Linked DNA regions of Stegostoma tigrinum. The main gene of each other region encodes a partner of the protein of the gene in region 2 in a complex. Links are inferred from orthologs where the notes say so. Each region holds a gene or a part of one and is shown on either strand. Other genes may lie near its edges.

Region 1 (7,377 bases), on a different chromosome or scaffold from region 2:
TCGATTCCAGCCTCGGGCGACCGTGTGTGGAGTTTGCACATTCTCCGTGTCTGCGTGGGTTTCCTCCCACAGCCCAAAGACGTGCTAGGTGGATTGGCCATGCTAAATTGCCCATAGTCTTCAGGGGTGTGGGGGTTATAGGGGACAGGTTGGGGTGGGATGCTTCAAGCGGCGGTGTGGACTTGTTGGGCCAAAGGGCCTGTTTCCACACTGTAGGCAATCTAATCAAAATACATATCTTACCTCATGTAGTAAAGATCTGATGCATCTAACTTCCTAGTAAGCTGAAAGACCTGCCATATATTTCCAAAATTTGTTTACATTTCAGTCTCATTTGCAATTTTTTCCACATACTTCAAGGACAGTCCAGCTGTTCAATGAATTTCCTCAGCAGATGAGATGAATTTTGACAAAGTGACACCTTGATAGATACCAGTGTCCAAGAGGACAACAGATCACAAACAGAATGCACATCAACTTGTATGATCAGTAGATCTGATACAGCTGTGGAGTGCACTGTAGACAATGGAGAGAAGAGCAACTAACTAGTTTCCCTGCTTGAAAACAGTAGAACAGCACTTATCGCAAAGAAGTGACTATTAAACTGAAGTGACTATAAACATGGAATGACTGCCTCTTTTCTTCTATCACCTTGTTGCATCTCTAGAGTAAAGCCATTATGTACAATAAGTTCGTAAGTGCACAAAATGTGCTGGTTAAGATTTGGGAAGAGAAAACCCATCTAGTCTGTAGGGACAAGTCTTAGCATAACATGCGTAAGAGGAATTCAAAATCAAAGTAGAGATAAAAGTAGACAATTTATACTACAAAATGCATTCCTTCACTGTATAAGTTATATTACTGCAGCTCCACTGAAAACATGAGAAAGGTTTCCATTCCTATAAAATAAAGAAAAATAAATTGATGTACAAAAAGTTCTGCATAAACTTCAAACCAATTTTGAACAATTGATCATTTTGATGAGGAACTCAGTTTCCTGATAAGGGTTAATGTGGAGCAACAATTCTCTTGAAAATAAAAAAAGTCATCAGAACTTTTAAAACAAGTTAGTATAAAAAGATAGGACAAATAGTTTGGACAGGTCACTTAACAGCAAAAGACAATATTTCATAAATCACAATTTAATTCACATTTACTACAGTAAGTACACTAATCACTGGCATAGGGGTTAAGCAAAAACAATTTAACACTTGTCACCATGTATTGTTAACGTAAATAACTTGTGTTACAAAACCAGCGTGTTTCGTTAGGATAAATAGCAGTATTAACTGGACAAGTGACACCACTGAAAGACCACATGAATACTTCATCCACAATACAAATTGACAGTTGATTTCACAATTCATGCAGCTTGTCTTGAAGGTTTCCTCTATTGTAGCTTTCACGTTTTAGAATTTAGCCATAAAACCCATTCCAGAGCTACCAACATACAATGGATGTAGATAGAATTAGAGTTTTAACCAGGCAAGCAAGCTTTACTTTTTAAAAACAAGAAACCATTCAACTAATCTGAAGGTAGTAAACAGATGCTTGGTGACTTCTTTTAAGATTTACTAATTTAGTGAGTTACACTAAATCCAAACAGCATTTCTGCCATGACAAAAAATTGGAAGTCAAAAGTTCAAGCGGGATGTTTCCTTATGAAAGAAGGAAAGTACATCAAAGTAAAGAGCGAATAGTTCCCATCCATAATTCTGCTAAAAAAAGTTGCTGCATAATGAAGATAAGTCTGATTGATTTTTATCTTTTAGAGGACTAAGAGTTCCAGAAAATCCTCAAATTAAGAGGATTTAGAGAATTTACTTACCCAAAATATTTTGATATTTCGGTTTTGTTTAAACAATGATCTAACTTGAATCCCTTACCATACATTAATTATATAACCGTTATTTCACATTAACTGAGCACTCCTATTATGCTGAAACTAGTCTTGATCCAGAGCGGCGAACATTTCGAACACAAGTTTTAAAGAGCTCCGTGCCACCACATCAAGCAGAGATTGCTGGATAGTCCCAATTCGAGACACTAAAGCGCTATCAAATTAGTGGTATGGTGCTTTTCTAGTTTCTCAAGTCAAACCCAAGCCCATGTTCAAACTTCAAGTTACAGCAACGTTACACTCCAAAATGTGCATTGAGACTTCGCAGGATGGACGCGAGTAAAACACACCTCGGTAGCTCCCGACTTTTTAACAAGGCTCCGAGAGCACACATGGCTAGAACTGTACTAACATAAACCATGGGGACGTAACTATCAGTTCGAGAGGGTGCTGTAACTGATCCTCGTCCGTAAACACTCACTAATGTCAAGCGCCCAAAGCACCAGCGTCAGCGACCTGACATTAACTTGAAAGCAGCTGCAGCGGCGAGATCCCAGTCTGACTCAACCCACCACGGGGGCAAAAGTGTCCATTTTATTCCGCCCCCCCCCCTTTAAATATACCAAACAGCAGTAAGAAACGGAATGTCTCACCCCATTTTTACCCCTCTCTCCTCCTGCTGAAGACAAGCCGATTCTCCGCCTGCGGGGGGACGCTTCTCGCTTTTTACGGCGTTAATGATGGGAGATGGTACCGAGACTCAGGCTCTCTCAGCCCGGCTCAGAGAGACGCTGGAGCAGATCATTTCACCCCCGAGCACACAGGGGCACAGAGGCGGGGAGATGAGTGCAGCGACAGCGGAAACTCGAGGGTAAACCCTGAGAGTGCTCCAAGGGACTCTTCCTCCCCACCTCTACCCGCCTTTTCGGTCCAGATGCCTTGGAGGTGAAGCAGGGGGAGACGGTGGGGGGGGGGGGTGGTGAAGAGAGTCGCCAGCCGCGGCCCCAAATGGCTGCAAAATCGAGGCGGCGCGAGCCGGCTGCAGCTGCCGGGTCAAGATTCCAATTACGCGGCGCTCCAACCGCCACCTTCCATTCCCTTTGTCAGCGGCAGCGCTCCTCCACTCACTCCCGCAGACTCCACCACTTCTGCCCGGCCATAGCCAAACCCCCGCACACCCCACGCTCCGTCCCCACCCACCCTCCTTCGCGTGCGCCCGACCTTTAAATGAACGTCAGCGCGTCACGGCGTAGCGCAGTCACCCACTCTGACTCGCCCGCCTCGTTCCGACTCGGCCCTGACGTCAGAGCACAGCAATTACCCGATGACGTCAGCCCAGCTCCCCACACTTTCTGCTAATTATACACACAGCATCCTGTCATTTCACATGCCCTAGTTTGGTTGGAGAGCCACCCACCATCTGCATCCTCAGTGGTTCAGACCGCACAACAGGAAGTTTAGGATGTTGCCAAGGATAACGGAGCTTCAAATGCAAGCCAAAGTGGTGTTTTATCTCGCATCTGTTCACGAACTTTTTGCAATTTATGAACCTGGAATGCGAGGTGATGGTTGGATTATGCTTTTTCCCCACATGGCATGAACATCTTTAATTCCCTAAAACAGTCGGAACGTATCGTCTCTCCAGTTACACAAGTTAAAATCTTAAAGCCCTGTTCGTCTGCAATTGTCGTAAAAGTTACTAAACTAATAAAAAAAGCTCTGGTCATATATTGTGGTTTAATGTTCTTTCATTCTGAGCGTCTTCTCTTCGCTCTTTTCTCCATATATATATAGACCAGGCAAATAAACAGTATAAAACCCGAAAGAACTGCGGATGCTGTAAATCAGGAACAAAAACAGATGCTGCTGGAAAAGGTCGGCGGGTCTGGCAGCGTCTAAGAAAAAAAATCAGAGTTAACGTTTCAGGTCCGGTTCCGAGGAAGTGTCACCGGACCCGAAACGTTAATTCTGATGTCTCTTCACAAATGCCGCCAGACCTTCTGAGTTTTTCCAGCAATTTCTGTTTTTTGTCATGAATAAACATTATACCTATCCATTTAATCACACCACCTAGCTCATTCTTCTCTGATTGACATCTGATTTATTAATACCACCTTTTCCAGGTGAGAACATGCCCGACAATTTGTGACTTCCAAATAACTGAATACAGAATATTATTTAAAAAAACTTGGCGTGCAGCCAGTTGAAAAGGTAAACCGACAAGGCATCACCCTTTAGGCAGCTTATCAGTAAAGTCTTTGGAAGATGCCCGGTGCCAGAACATTGCTTTTAAACAGCACTTGGTCATCAATGATGTACTCACCGATGCTCAGTTTGGGTTCACCAGACCTCATTAGCTTCAGACCTCATATTTAAATTAGTGATGAGAAGGGACATAGTCACTCAAAGGGTTATTAGTCTTTGAAAGTGTCTTCCATTGAGAGCTGTTGAAATTTGGAGCCCCCTTAAAAACTAAAATTCTTTTGAGTCTTTCATATTTATTACTTCCTATGTAGCCTGAGTATTACGGCAGTAACCAGCATTCTACAAATATAAACTGACCTCCAGTATATGAATACAGAGAACAGATTAAATCCAATGCTGAGTTCATGACTCAAGTCAAAAAATGATCATATGCCACATTACCCTATTATTAATGCAATGTTTCAAAAAAAGGAGTTTTTGTTCTTAGAAGGAATTAAAACTAAACTTAAAATGGAGGCAGGAAAGGGGAATTGGTCATCCTGGCATCATGAGTAGCTGCCAATGGTCATTGGACAAAAAAGTTCAGACAATTGGTTGATAAAGCATAGGTGGCCATCTGCCAAAATAATGAGCTAAATGGGAAAAGAGGAGTATGAGAGGAATCAAGGGGATGAACCACCATCTCCTTCTGGGAAGATGTTCCTCTACATCAGCCCAAGGGAAGACAAAAGGATGTTGCTACCAGAGACCATGAAGGACTATCACAAAAGACTGCAAGATATCTGGAACATGGAAGTGTGCTGCTTCTGCTCCACCATTTTACAGAAAAGCCTAATCAACTAATGTACCATACCTAAACTGCTGCTTCTCAACAAATTATCAGAAAATCATTACAAATCCACTGCCTGTGTTAGATAACTGTGATCACGAACCCCTCCCACAAAATCACAAAAACAGTGGGGGCCATATCTTTGAATATATTCCAGGATGAGCTGGATAGATTATTGACCTACATGGGGGTCATTTGTTAAGGGAGTCAGACAAAAAAGTGGAGTTAGTTGGATCAGCCAATATCTCATTGCCTTCTGGAATTAGTTCAATGAGCTGGATGACCTACCCCTGCACCTATTTCTCATGATCTTGGGGTCAGATGTGCCACTTGGAAATGGCCTTGGAAGGACTCCAGAGAATGCCCTGAATTGAGAAGCCAAGAGTCTAGCACAAGGTAAATCTGGAATCCTGCTGAGTCCAGGTTACCAAGCCCCAATGAGGGATCATGGTAGAGAGGCAGCAGGGAATGGAGAAGACAAACACAAAGGGAACACTTTGGGAGATCATTTAAGGGCCTCAAATGACCCAGTGCAGCAGACTGGCCAATGCATCCCTCACCCAGTAGAATAGGAGGCAATTGGACAACAGTCTTGCTCAATTTTAGACCTCACCTCTCATCCTACAGCTGAAAACTTTAGTACTTCATTTTGGAATGTAATAAGCTTTCATTATAATTCTACCTATGACAGAAACTTCCTGAAAACCAATTTAAATCACTGTAAATTAAGGAATTAGATTCCCTAAATATCATGAAGTAGGATTTTCAAATTGCAATTATATTTTGAGGTCAGACATCAGTTCTAACAATTTTCTGGAAGAAAAACAATGTTGCTGAAAAAGCTCAGCTGGTCTGGCAGCATCTGTGGAGGAAAAATCAGAGTTAACGTTTTGGGTCCGGTAACCCTTCCTCAGGATAGTTTTCTGGTTTTGGTTACCATTGACTTCAACTAAAATGAATACCAGTCAGCTACTCCGGAATATGATTGATACTTGATAACAGCTTGAAAATTTGTCTTGATTCTGCAAGAAATTTGTAACTTTCAAAGTCTTCCTTCCAGAAGGTGTGGAGATGCAATGTATTTTTAGTATGGAATTTCTAAGATCTGTTGAAAAGTATACGTCTCATTTTTCTGCCAGGTTTGTCAGCTTTAGTGACAAACGTATATGTCTCCACTTTAAATGTGTTACTTTCATTAACATTTTCAACCCAAAGCACACAAGGTTCTTGTATTGCAAATTACTTACATCAGATTTTCTTTTTCTAAAGGTCAGAAAGTTAGAGGTTTTCATTTTCCTTCAGAGTGTCTTATTAGTTATTGTAGTTCTGGCCTGTGTTGTATAATTGAAAGCCGACATTTCTGGATTCCAGACTGGGCTCATAGGTCTGCTATAGTTTCAGTCCTGAAAAAGTGAATCCAGGGTGTCACTGGGGCCAGGTTATCAGATCCTCATGATGGTTTGAGGGATCATGGTGGACAGAACAGCAGCGGATCGTGAGGAAAAAGATTCGGGGGATTTTTTGGAGGGGGGGGATGGGCACTTGGGAACTCAATTGGCATACTGCTGATGCCTTTCTCACTCCAAGGTGGGAGTGGGTAAATGATGGGCACAGTGCCAATAGCATGTCATTCAATATAATGCTTACCTCCCCTGCTATCACATCTCCTGAGCTGTAAAATTCAGCCCATTATTTTGAAATGTAATAAATTTGAAGGCTAATTCCACCTGTGATCGGTTTCTATGGAAGAGTTTGACAAACCTTGCCCAATGATGAAATAAATAAAAATCAAGTAATTATCACAGTCATTCAGCATCTGGGAAAATGTTCAACTATTAATTGAATTGTATTAGATCTGTAAATCAATTGCATTTAACCCTGACTTAGTCTTAGCATTCTTCACAAAAGAAGACACAAATAACATCCCGAAAATACTGGGTGTATGGGGTTAGTGAGAGAGATGAATGGAAGGAAATCAGTATTAGTAGGGAAGTGGAGGGTGAGGAAATTGATGGGATTGAAGGCCAACAAATTCCCAGGACCCGACAGTCTACTTCCCAGAGTCCTAAAAGAAATGACCCTCGAAACAATGGATGTCATCTTTCAAGAATCTATCAACTCTGAAACAGTTCTATAGTTTGGAGGGTAATCCCACTATTTAAAAAGGAGGTAGATAGAAAACGGAATTTTAGAATGGTTAGCCTGATATTGGAAGTATGAAAAATATCAGAATCCATTATAAAAGATCCAATAACAGAACACTTAGAAAACAGCATAGATTTTTTAAAACAGAAATCTGCTTGACAAACCTAATGGAATTTTTGGAGGATATAAACAGTCGTGTGACAAGGAGAGCCAGCCTATGTAGTTAACTTGGATTTTTAGAAGGTTTTTGATAAGGACCCATGTAAGAGATTATTATGTAAAATTAAAGGACTAGAAATAGTGCACTGACACGGATAGAGAATTAGTTGGCAGACAGAAAACAAAGAGAAGGAACAAT
Region 2 (8,002 bases):
CTCCAGCATCTGCAGTTCCCATTATCTCCTTAACTCCCCATCCCATTCTTTCGACAACATGTCCGTCATGGGCCTCCTGCAGTGCCACAAGGATGCCACCTGAAGGTTGCAGGAACAGCAACTCATATTCCGCTTGGGAACCCTGCAGCCCAATGGTATCAATGTGGACTTCACCAGCCTCAAAATCTCTCCTTCCCCCACCGCATCCCAAAACCAGCCCAGTTTGTCCCCTTCCCCCACTGCATCACACAACCAGCCCAGCTCATCCCCTTCCCCCACTGCATCCCAAAACCAGTCCATCCTGTCTCTGCCTCCCTAACCTGTTCTTCCTCTCACCTATCCCTTCCTCCCACCTCAAACTGCACCTCCATTTCCTACCTACTAACCTCATCCCACCTCTTTGACCTGTCCGTCTTCCCTGGACTGACCTATCCCCTCCCCACCTATACTCTCCTCTCCACCTATATTCTTTTCTCTCTATCTTTGGTCCGCCTCCCCCTCTCTTCCTATTTATTCCAGAACCCTCTCCCTATCCCCCTCTCTGATGAAGGGTCTAGGCGCGAAACGTCAGCTTTTGTGCTCCTGAGATGCTGCTTGGCCTGCTGTGTTCATCCAGTTTTACACTTTATTACATGAGGAAAGATTGATCACTATTGGATTTGACAATCACTTTGTCTACTGCTGGGAGTCTGCTTCTGCTGAACTCAGTGTGCGGTGATGAGGGGGATGTAAGGAGTTAGTCCCTGGCAGGAAAGTAGGTCATAAAAATGTCTGCCAATTAGGAATTTAATTGTTCTATAGTCTGACGGTCCTTGTCAATCATAATGTCAGTCTGACACTCAGCCCACCCAAGAAATTTCCTTGATGACAGGGAATCGCATATTGAGGAGCCATCCCTACACAGCTCCTCCAATTTTCTTGGCCCCCTGCCACTATCCCTCATCTCAATGGGGCTGTGAAAATCAGCCCAAGTTTTCACATCTGTGACCTTTCATCAAAATCAATCAGCGCAATTAAAGTTTAAAGCAAAGTTTAAATATTTTTGTTATTGGATTACTGCAATCTCTCTTGAAATTTGTTTCAGTTGTAGTTTCCAAACTATAGCACTTCACCAATAATTGGAACAGGCTCCAGCTCTCTTAGTTAGTTCTAAACTACTCTTGCTATACTTGGAGAAAAAGTCATGGGTGGAGTCATTCAAACAGCCATCCATTCTCATTTTAATATATGACCGAGAAGTCTCCAGTTCTTGATGAAGGTCATTGGTAGCAACACAGGGCACGCAAAGAACCCACTCCAGAATTTAACCACAAAATTGTCAGTGTGCTGATATGATAAAAACAATAAGTACAGGTTCTCTAATTGATTTTAATGGGTGGAGGTGGGAATGCATTTAAAACATAGATTAAAAGCGATGGTGGGAGGAATTACATAAAGTAATACTATTAGATCAAAAAAGTGAAGAGGCATCAATTGAAAATAATTAGGCCTGTCAAGTGAGTATTATATCATTTCATTTGGAATTATAAATATTTTTATTCATACCATGCATATACTTTTACTAGCAATGGATGTCACGCTCCTGCTGTAACAAATTTTCCTCATATTATGGTGAAACCTTCAACCCTTGACTTCCAGAAGATTTCATTCCCCCAGCAGAACATTAACTTGAGCATATGCATAAAGCTTTTGGTTTCCAAACTTCTTCTCCTTATTTACTCCTGTTCCCTCCCTTAAGACACTACATAACGTCATAGAACTCTACAGTGTGGGGACAGGCCTGTCAGCCCAACAAGTCCACACTGACCATCAGAGCAACCCGCCCCAGATCCATCCCCCTATAATCTACACATCCCTGAACACTACGGGCAATTTAGCATGCCCAACCCTAGCCTGCACATCTTTGGACTGTGGGAGGAAGCCACAGAACCCAGAGGAAACCCATGCAGACACAGGGACAATGTGCAAAATCCACACAGACAGTTACCCAAGGGTGGAATCGAACCCAGGTCCCTGACACTGTGAGGCATCAGTGCTAACCACTGAGCCACTGTGCCACAAGCAATTGTCAACACTACACCCATACTTCTGTTGCTCTATTTCAACGAGGAGTGCATTTAGTAATTAATGATAGAAGTAGACAATGTAGTCGTTTCAACAGAATATGATGCAAAGTTATGCACAGTATCCACACGGAGTTAATTTCTTAACCTAGATCATAAAACAGGGGTGAAGACATGATCATATGGTCTAATGTATAAGATGTCTGACTTCAGCATTAAAGGTTGCAGGTTTGAGTCCAACCTGTCTCTGCCTTCCTAACCTGTACTTCCTCTCACCCATCCCTTCCTCCCACCCCAAGCCGCACCCCCATCTACCTACTAACTTCATCCCACCTCCTTGACCTGTCCGTCTTCCCTGGACTGACCTATCCCCTCCCTACCTCCCCACCTATACTCTCTCCACCTATCTTCTTTTCTCTCCATTTTCGGTCCGCCTCCCCCTCTCTCCCTATTTATTCCAGAACCCTCACCCCATCCCCCTCTCTGATGAAGGGTCTAGGCCTGAAACGTCAGCTTTTGTGCTCCTGAGATGCTGCTTGGCCTGCTGTGTTCATCCAGCCTCACATTTTATTATCTTGAGTCCTGTTGCAATCATTTGGGGGCCCTCCTGTGGGCAGTGATCAAGGCCTGGGTTCAAGTCCCATCGCTCAAAAGATGTGCAACTTTATCTCTGATCAGGTTGATCAGAAAAACAGGCTAATATAAAAAAGACATAAATTAAAACAAACGAATATCTTTTTTTAAAATGTCAATCCCTTAATATCTTCATGTTTTTTGAGTGGGTGGAGAACCGTACTTCAAAAAAACAAACATATAGAATTGGACCCCATATATAAATCCATACAGATCAAAACTGGAAATAATAGTACTCACCATAATGGATGTGACAGTATAAATTTCAAGTGGAGTAGAATAACATCGCTTCATCGGAGGCTCCATTGATGATGTCACTTAGCATGGTGACAAAGCATCTGAACAAAAACAAGACAGCTCAATGAGCAAGTCAACAACCTCATCCACAACCCGAACTACAGATTTTTTGCCAATATTTTAAATAACTACGGGCATAACATGCCAAAAATTGCCAGACAATGGGAAACCTTTGCCAACTGACTGAGCGCTACCTGCGAACAACTTCACTACCTCCATGAATGCCTCAGGAACCAGGTACTGCATGGCAGTGTGAAGTACAAACCTTCACTCAACATCCCAGAGGCACACAAAATAGCTAAACAGAATGGGTGCAGAATGCTATGAGGAATGATTAATGATGCCCATAACTGGCTCCACAGGTACAAACAAGAAACTGCATGCCAAAAATCACAGTATCGAAACTCAACAGACCAGCAGGCCATTACCAATCGACACAAAACCAAAACTAAGAAGAGACATGAACTGCAGGAGAAATTCACCAAACTGATACACCACAAAGACAAGGACAACAAGAAGGCAGACACATGGATGAGAAACCTATCTAATAAGCAACCCACAGAAACTGAGAAAGATGTCCTATAATGTGGACTGAACTATAGCCACAAAGATGTGAACAGAACAGACTTCATGGCCGCTCTGGAGAATGCATTAAAAGACAACAAACTCACGGATGAAACACAACAAGCCATCCAACAAACTATAATCCCCACACTACACAGAAGGAACAAAGGGGGCAACCTGAACACAGCAGAGAGAAAAGCTCTAGACAAACTCAGGAAAGACAAGAACATCATAATCCTACCAGCAGACAAAGGGTGCATGACCATCATTATGAACAAACTAGACTACGTTAAGTAAGCATAGACATTGCTTGCAGATACAACCACTTACCAATAGATGGTGATAGACCCAACACTGCAGCGAGGGAATAGGATCACCGAGACACTGAAGTGACTAATAAATGCGGGGCAGATAACCAAGATAGACTTCAAGAGAATGAAACCAAAAGCACAAACACCATTCACCTCCACCCCACTTCTATGGACTGCCTAAAGTACATAAACCATACATCCCTCTCGACCCATTGTATCCCTACCAGTCACACCTTCACACAAACTGGCAAGGATCTACGACAGAGATTGAAACACCTAGTAGACAAATCACCTCAATTCTATCTACTCGACCCAAGATTTCCTCAACACCCTAAAGAACATAAAAATCAGCGACGACAAGATTATGGTATCCTTTGACATCACAGCTTTATTCACATCAAAAGATATCCCACTAGCCAAAGAAACAATGGTCATATTACTAGAGGAAACAGCAACTCAGACTAGCAATACCATCAGCAAGGACAGCATACTTAAATTACTAGACCTCTGCCTCACTACACACTTTGTCTTTAATGGTCAAATATACAAACAGATCAACGGTACACCAATGGGGTCACCAATCTCAGGGCTCATCGCAGAAGCAGTCATGCAATGATTAGAACGCACCATCCTCCCCCACACTCAACCTAAACTGTGGATCTGGAACGGAGATGACACATTTTTCATTATTAAAGGCAACAAATTAAAAGAGACCCACTACCTCACCAACAGTGTATTCACAGGGATTAAATTCACATTTACCAGGGAGGCAATGGCCTGGTGGTATTATCACTGGACTGTTAATCCAGAGACCCAGATAACATTCTGGGGACCTGGATTCAAATCCCGCTGTGGTAGATAGTAGAAGCTGAATTCAATAAAACATTTGGAATTAAGAATCTAATGATCCATTGTCGCCTGTCGGAAAAACCCATCTGGTTCACTAATGTCCTTTAGGGAAGGAAACTGCCATTCTTATCTGGTCTGGTCTACGTGTGATTCCAGACCCACAGCAATATGGTTGACTCTTAACTGCCCTAGCCAGCAATGGCCTCATCCCACGAATGAACTAAAAAAAAGGGAAGAAGAGCCCAACAATCAACTGCCGTTCCTGGAATGACTGACAAACAGGGGAGTTCCAAACTTCAGTACACAGAAAAGCAACCCCTACAGATCAAATCTCCAACTTCCACAGCAACAACCCCAACATCCACAGACAAAGCTGCATTAGGACGCTATTTAAACTGGCTAGGACACACTGCAACACTCCATAATTATGCCAGGAAGAAGAAAAACACTTATACAAGATCCTCGTCTCAAATGGATATCCCCATAACTTCATCAACAGGTGCCTATATAACAGACAACAACAGGAAGACACAGTACAACCTAACACATTTACTACACTTCTCTACATCAGGAACATATCAGAACTGACAACAAGACTGCTCAGACCATTAGGAAACGTGGTGGCCCACAAACCCACAGCCACTCTACGACAAACACTTACGAGGATTAAAGACCCCATTCCCACAACGTGCAGAACAAATGTAGTTTACAAAATACAATGCAATGACTGCCACAAACATTATACCAGAAAGACGGGAAGGAAACTAGCCATCAGAACATACAAACATCAGCTAGCAGAAAAATGGCACGATGAACTCTCCGTAATATCTGTACACTCAATGAAGGCCATCAGTTTAACTGGGACAAAGTAAACATAGTAGCCCAAGTCAAACGTAGACACACATGGGAATTCCTGGAGGCATGGTTCTCAACCCATACTTCAATCAACAAACATATAGAGTTGCACCCCATATATAAATATATACAGATCAAAACTGGAAATGACAGTACTCACCACAACGGACCGGACAGTATAAATTCCAAGGCGAGTATAATAACATTGCTTCATCGGAGACTCCACTGATGATTTCATCTAGCATGGTGATGAAAGGTCTGATCAAAAACAAGCCAGCTCGGCAAGCAAGTCAACAACCTTATCCACAACCCAACCTACAGCTTTTTGCCAATACTTTAAACTTTTGCTTCATTATTTGTTCATCTCCTGAATGCTTCAAATTTTTCAAACTAGTCTTCTCCAGTTACCTTTACTGGAATTCTTTGCCTTATCTTTCAAACTATTTTACTTTCTCCCAGTTTCAAATGAGAAATTATTATAGTCAAAATTATACTGACATAGAACGGAGTAGAGCACGAGTAGTATCAAATATCCAGTTGCAAACTCGCAATTACAGCAAAGAGCATAAGAATCAAATTTAATCTAAAAAGAACAGATATTACAGTTTTAGAATTAACACACTAGGAAGCATTGCATAGGTAACATTATAAACCAAAATAAAAGGAAAATAAGCCATGTCTAAAATGGTTAACAATTTATTCCAATATTGCTTATCAATCATGTTTGATTTATTTCAGGTATTTCATTGTTTCGTAGCTTGTGTCCTTTTACTTAACAACTCTAACTGACACTTAATAAATAACTAATTCCAACATAGTGAATTTTAGCAGAGAAAAATTTCAATGACATAATTCACATGGCATATTGATGACACTGTTTCCAATCGTGAAACAATTGATGTGCCATGACGGTGAAATTATAACCTGTACACACAAAATCTAAGAATTTTCATTGTTAATTCTATAAGAGAGAGTGCAAAATCTCCTCAGTATTAGCCAGTGTTCTCACAACTCTATAAATCAGTGTTAAGTCTACATCAATTTCAGGATAAGCTGGTTTCTTACCATAACTGAACTTCAACCTGCTGCATTTTAATTTCCTTAAGCTGTCAGTCAGTAATACTAGACCCAATAATACTCCTGATATCAATTTCTTTTGCTTTAATGGAATATAACATTCCATTGTGAAACCTCTGTATTCTCTTAGTTGTCATTCGTGTAGATTTATTATGTTTAACCAGGTTCCAAACATTGTAGCTCTTTCATGTAATAGAGTCATCTCTGCTAAGTGCTCTTTAGGAAAATGTGATTTAATGCAGTTCGGTTTTAAGTGCTAGGTAGACTATTTCTGGTAAATTCAAAATGCTGTGATGGAAATTCACAATTCCTGTTTAACACAAGATAACATTACACTTTTAAGAATAAAATGGTAAAGATTTTGCAAATCTATCCACATATTCTGTGAGCAAAGAAAAATCACTGCAGAAAAGCAAAAGGTGTTTGCCTTTTTAAAAGGCATCCATCCAGTACAGTTATCATTACTGCCACATTTGATATGTTTAAATGTTGCAGACATTTTTTAAATATGAAATTATGAGGCCGCGTTTATTCCGTGAAAAATCTGTCAAGAACTATAAAAAGTCATCGATTGAGCAACAAAGAATGAATTGCAATTCTAGCAAGATGGCAAATCAGTAGCCAACTGTCTACTGGAATCACTAATAGGAGACTCTCCCACTAAAATGAAAAACAAAGGAAGGTTTCAGATCTCATAATATTGTGAAAGCTATTTTATCATCTCAACGTTTCCTGTTGGTGTGTAACAAATAATAGTTATAACTCAGCATGAGTATCACCATAGATCTAATAGATGCTACTCATTACATGTAATTTCAGCAGCACTATTTTCTATCCAACATGGATATAAAAGGTTGTGATATTAATTTAAATTCTAACTGTCATCTCAAGCACACCTCAAGCTGCAGGGAGGCAGTGCAGTCCTCATATACATTCCCATGACAACCACACATTAATACTCTGCTGCCCAAATCATAGTTTCCCCTAAATCCATTCAGTCTGAATCTATGTTAAAGCTGTTTGCTGGATGGGTGACTTCATAGCTTGATATCTATTTGATTTTTTTTTCCAGATGTTGCATTTCTAATCAGGATAGAAGATACTTATATAATCAAATCATTTTAACTATTGCAATTACACATGTTCAGTATGGATAGGTGGTGTATTTAACTTATATAAACATTGTTTAATTGGCTTTTACATTATATAAAGAAAAAGCTGTCTGGCAATCATTGAAAGATATAAAGGATTGGTTCATTCAGTTGTCAAGATGGCTAGTGTGTATAATTCAGAATAACATCAATATCTCATGTTTGTCATTCCTGCTAGGACAGACTTGTGACATGGCACAGG

What was found. Proteins that work in one complex are often made in the same cells at the same time.
Region 1: the proteins of grm5b (region 2) and homer protein homolog 1-like are in contact, whole or in part, in a crystal structure (PDB 1DDV), measured with the Rattus norvegicus proteins. The link is inferred for Stegostoma tigrinum from reciprocal best matches to the Homo sapiens genes GRM5 and HOMER1. Residues at the interface, in XP_006229721.1 of Rattus norvegicus: Thr1155, Pro1156, Pro1157, Phe1160; in NP_113895.1 of Rattus norvegicus: His12, Phe14, Trp24, Thr70, Ser71, Gln72, Lys73, Phe74, Gly89, Phe90.

What each region holds. Positions count from the first base shown.
Region 1 is NC_081356.1:108,786,386-108,793,762, forward strand, and holds the start of homer protein homolog 1-like, read right to left. Parts: upstream 3,018-7,377; 5' UTR 2,499-3,017; coding exon 2,494-2,498; intron 1-2,493. UniProt on the Homo sapiens protein: Postsynaptic density scaffolding protein. Binds and cross-links cytoplasmic regions of GRM1, GRM5, ITPR1, DNM3, RYR1, RYR2, SHANK1 and SHANK3.
Region 2 is NC_081359.1:51,153,266-51,161,267, reverse strand, and holds the start of grm5b (metabotropic glutamate receptor 5b), read right to left. Parts: upstream 3,009-8,002; 5' UTR 2,937-3,008; intron 1-2,936. UniProt on the Homo sapiens protein: G-protein coupled receptor for glutamate. Ligand binding causes a conformation change that triggers signaling via guanine nucleotide-binding proteins (G proteins) and modulates the activity of down-stream effectors.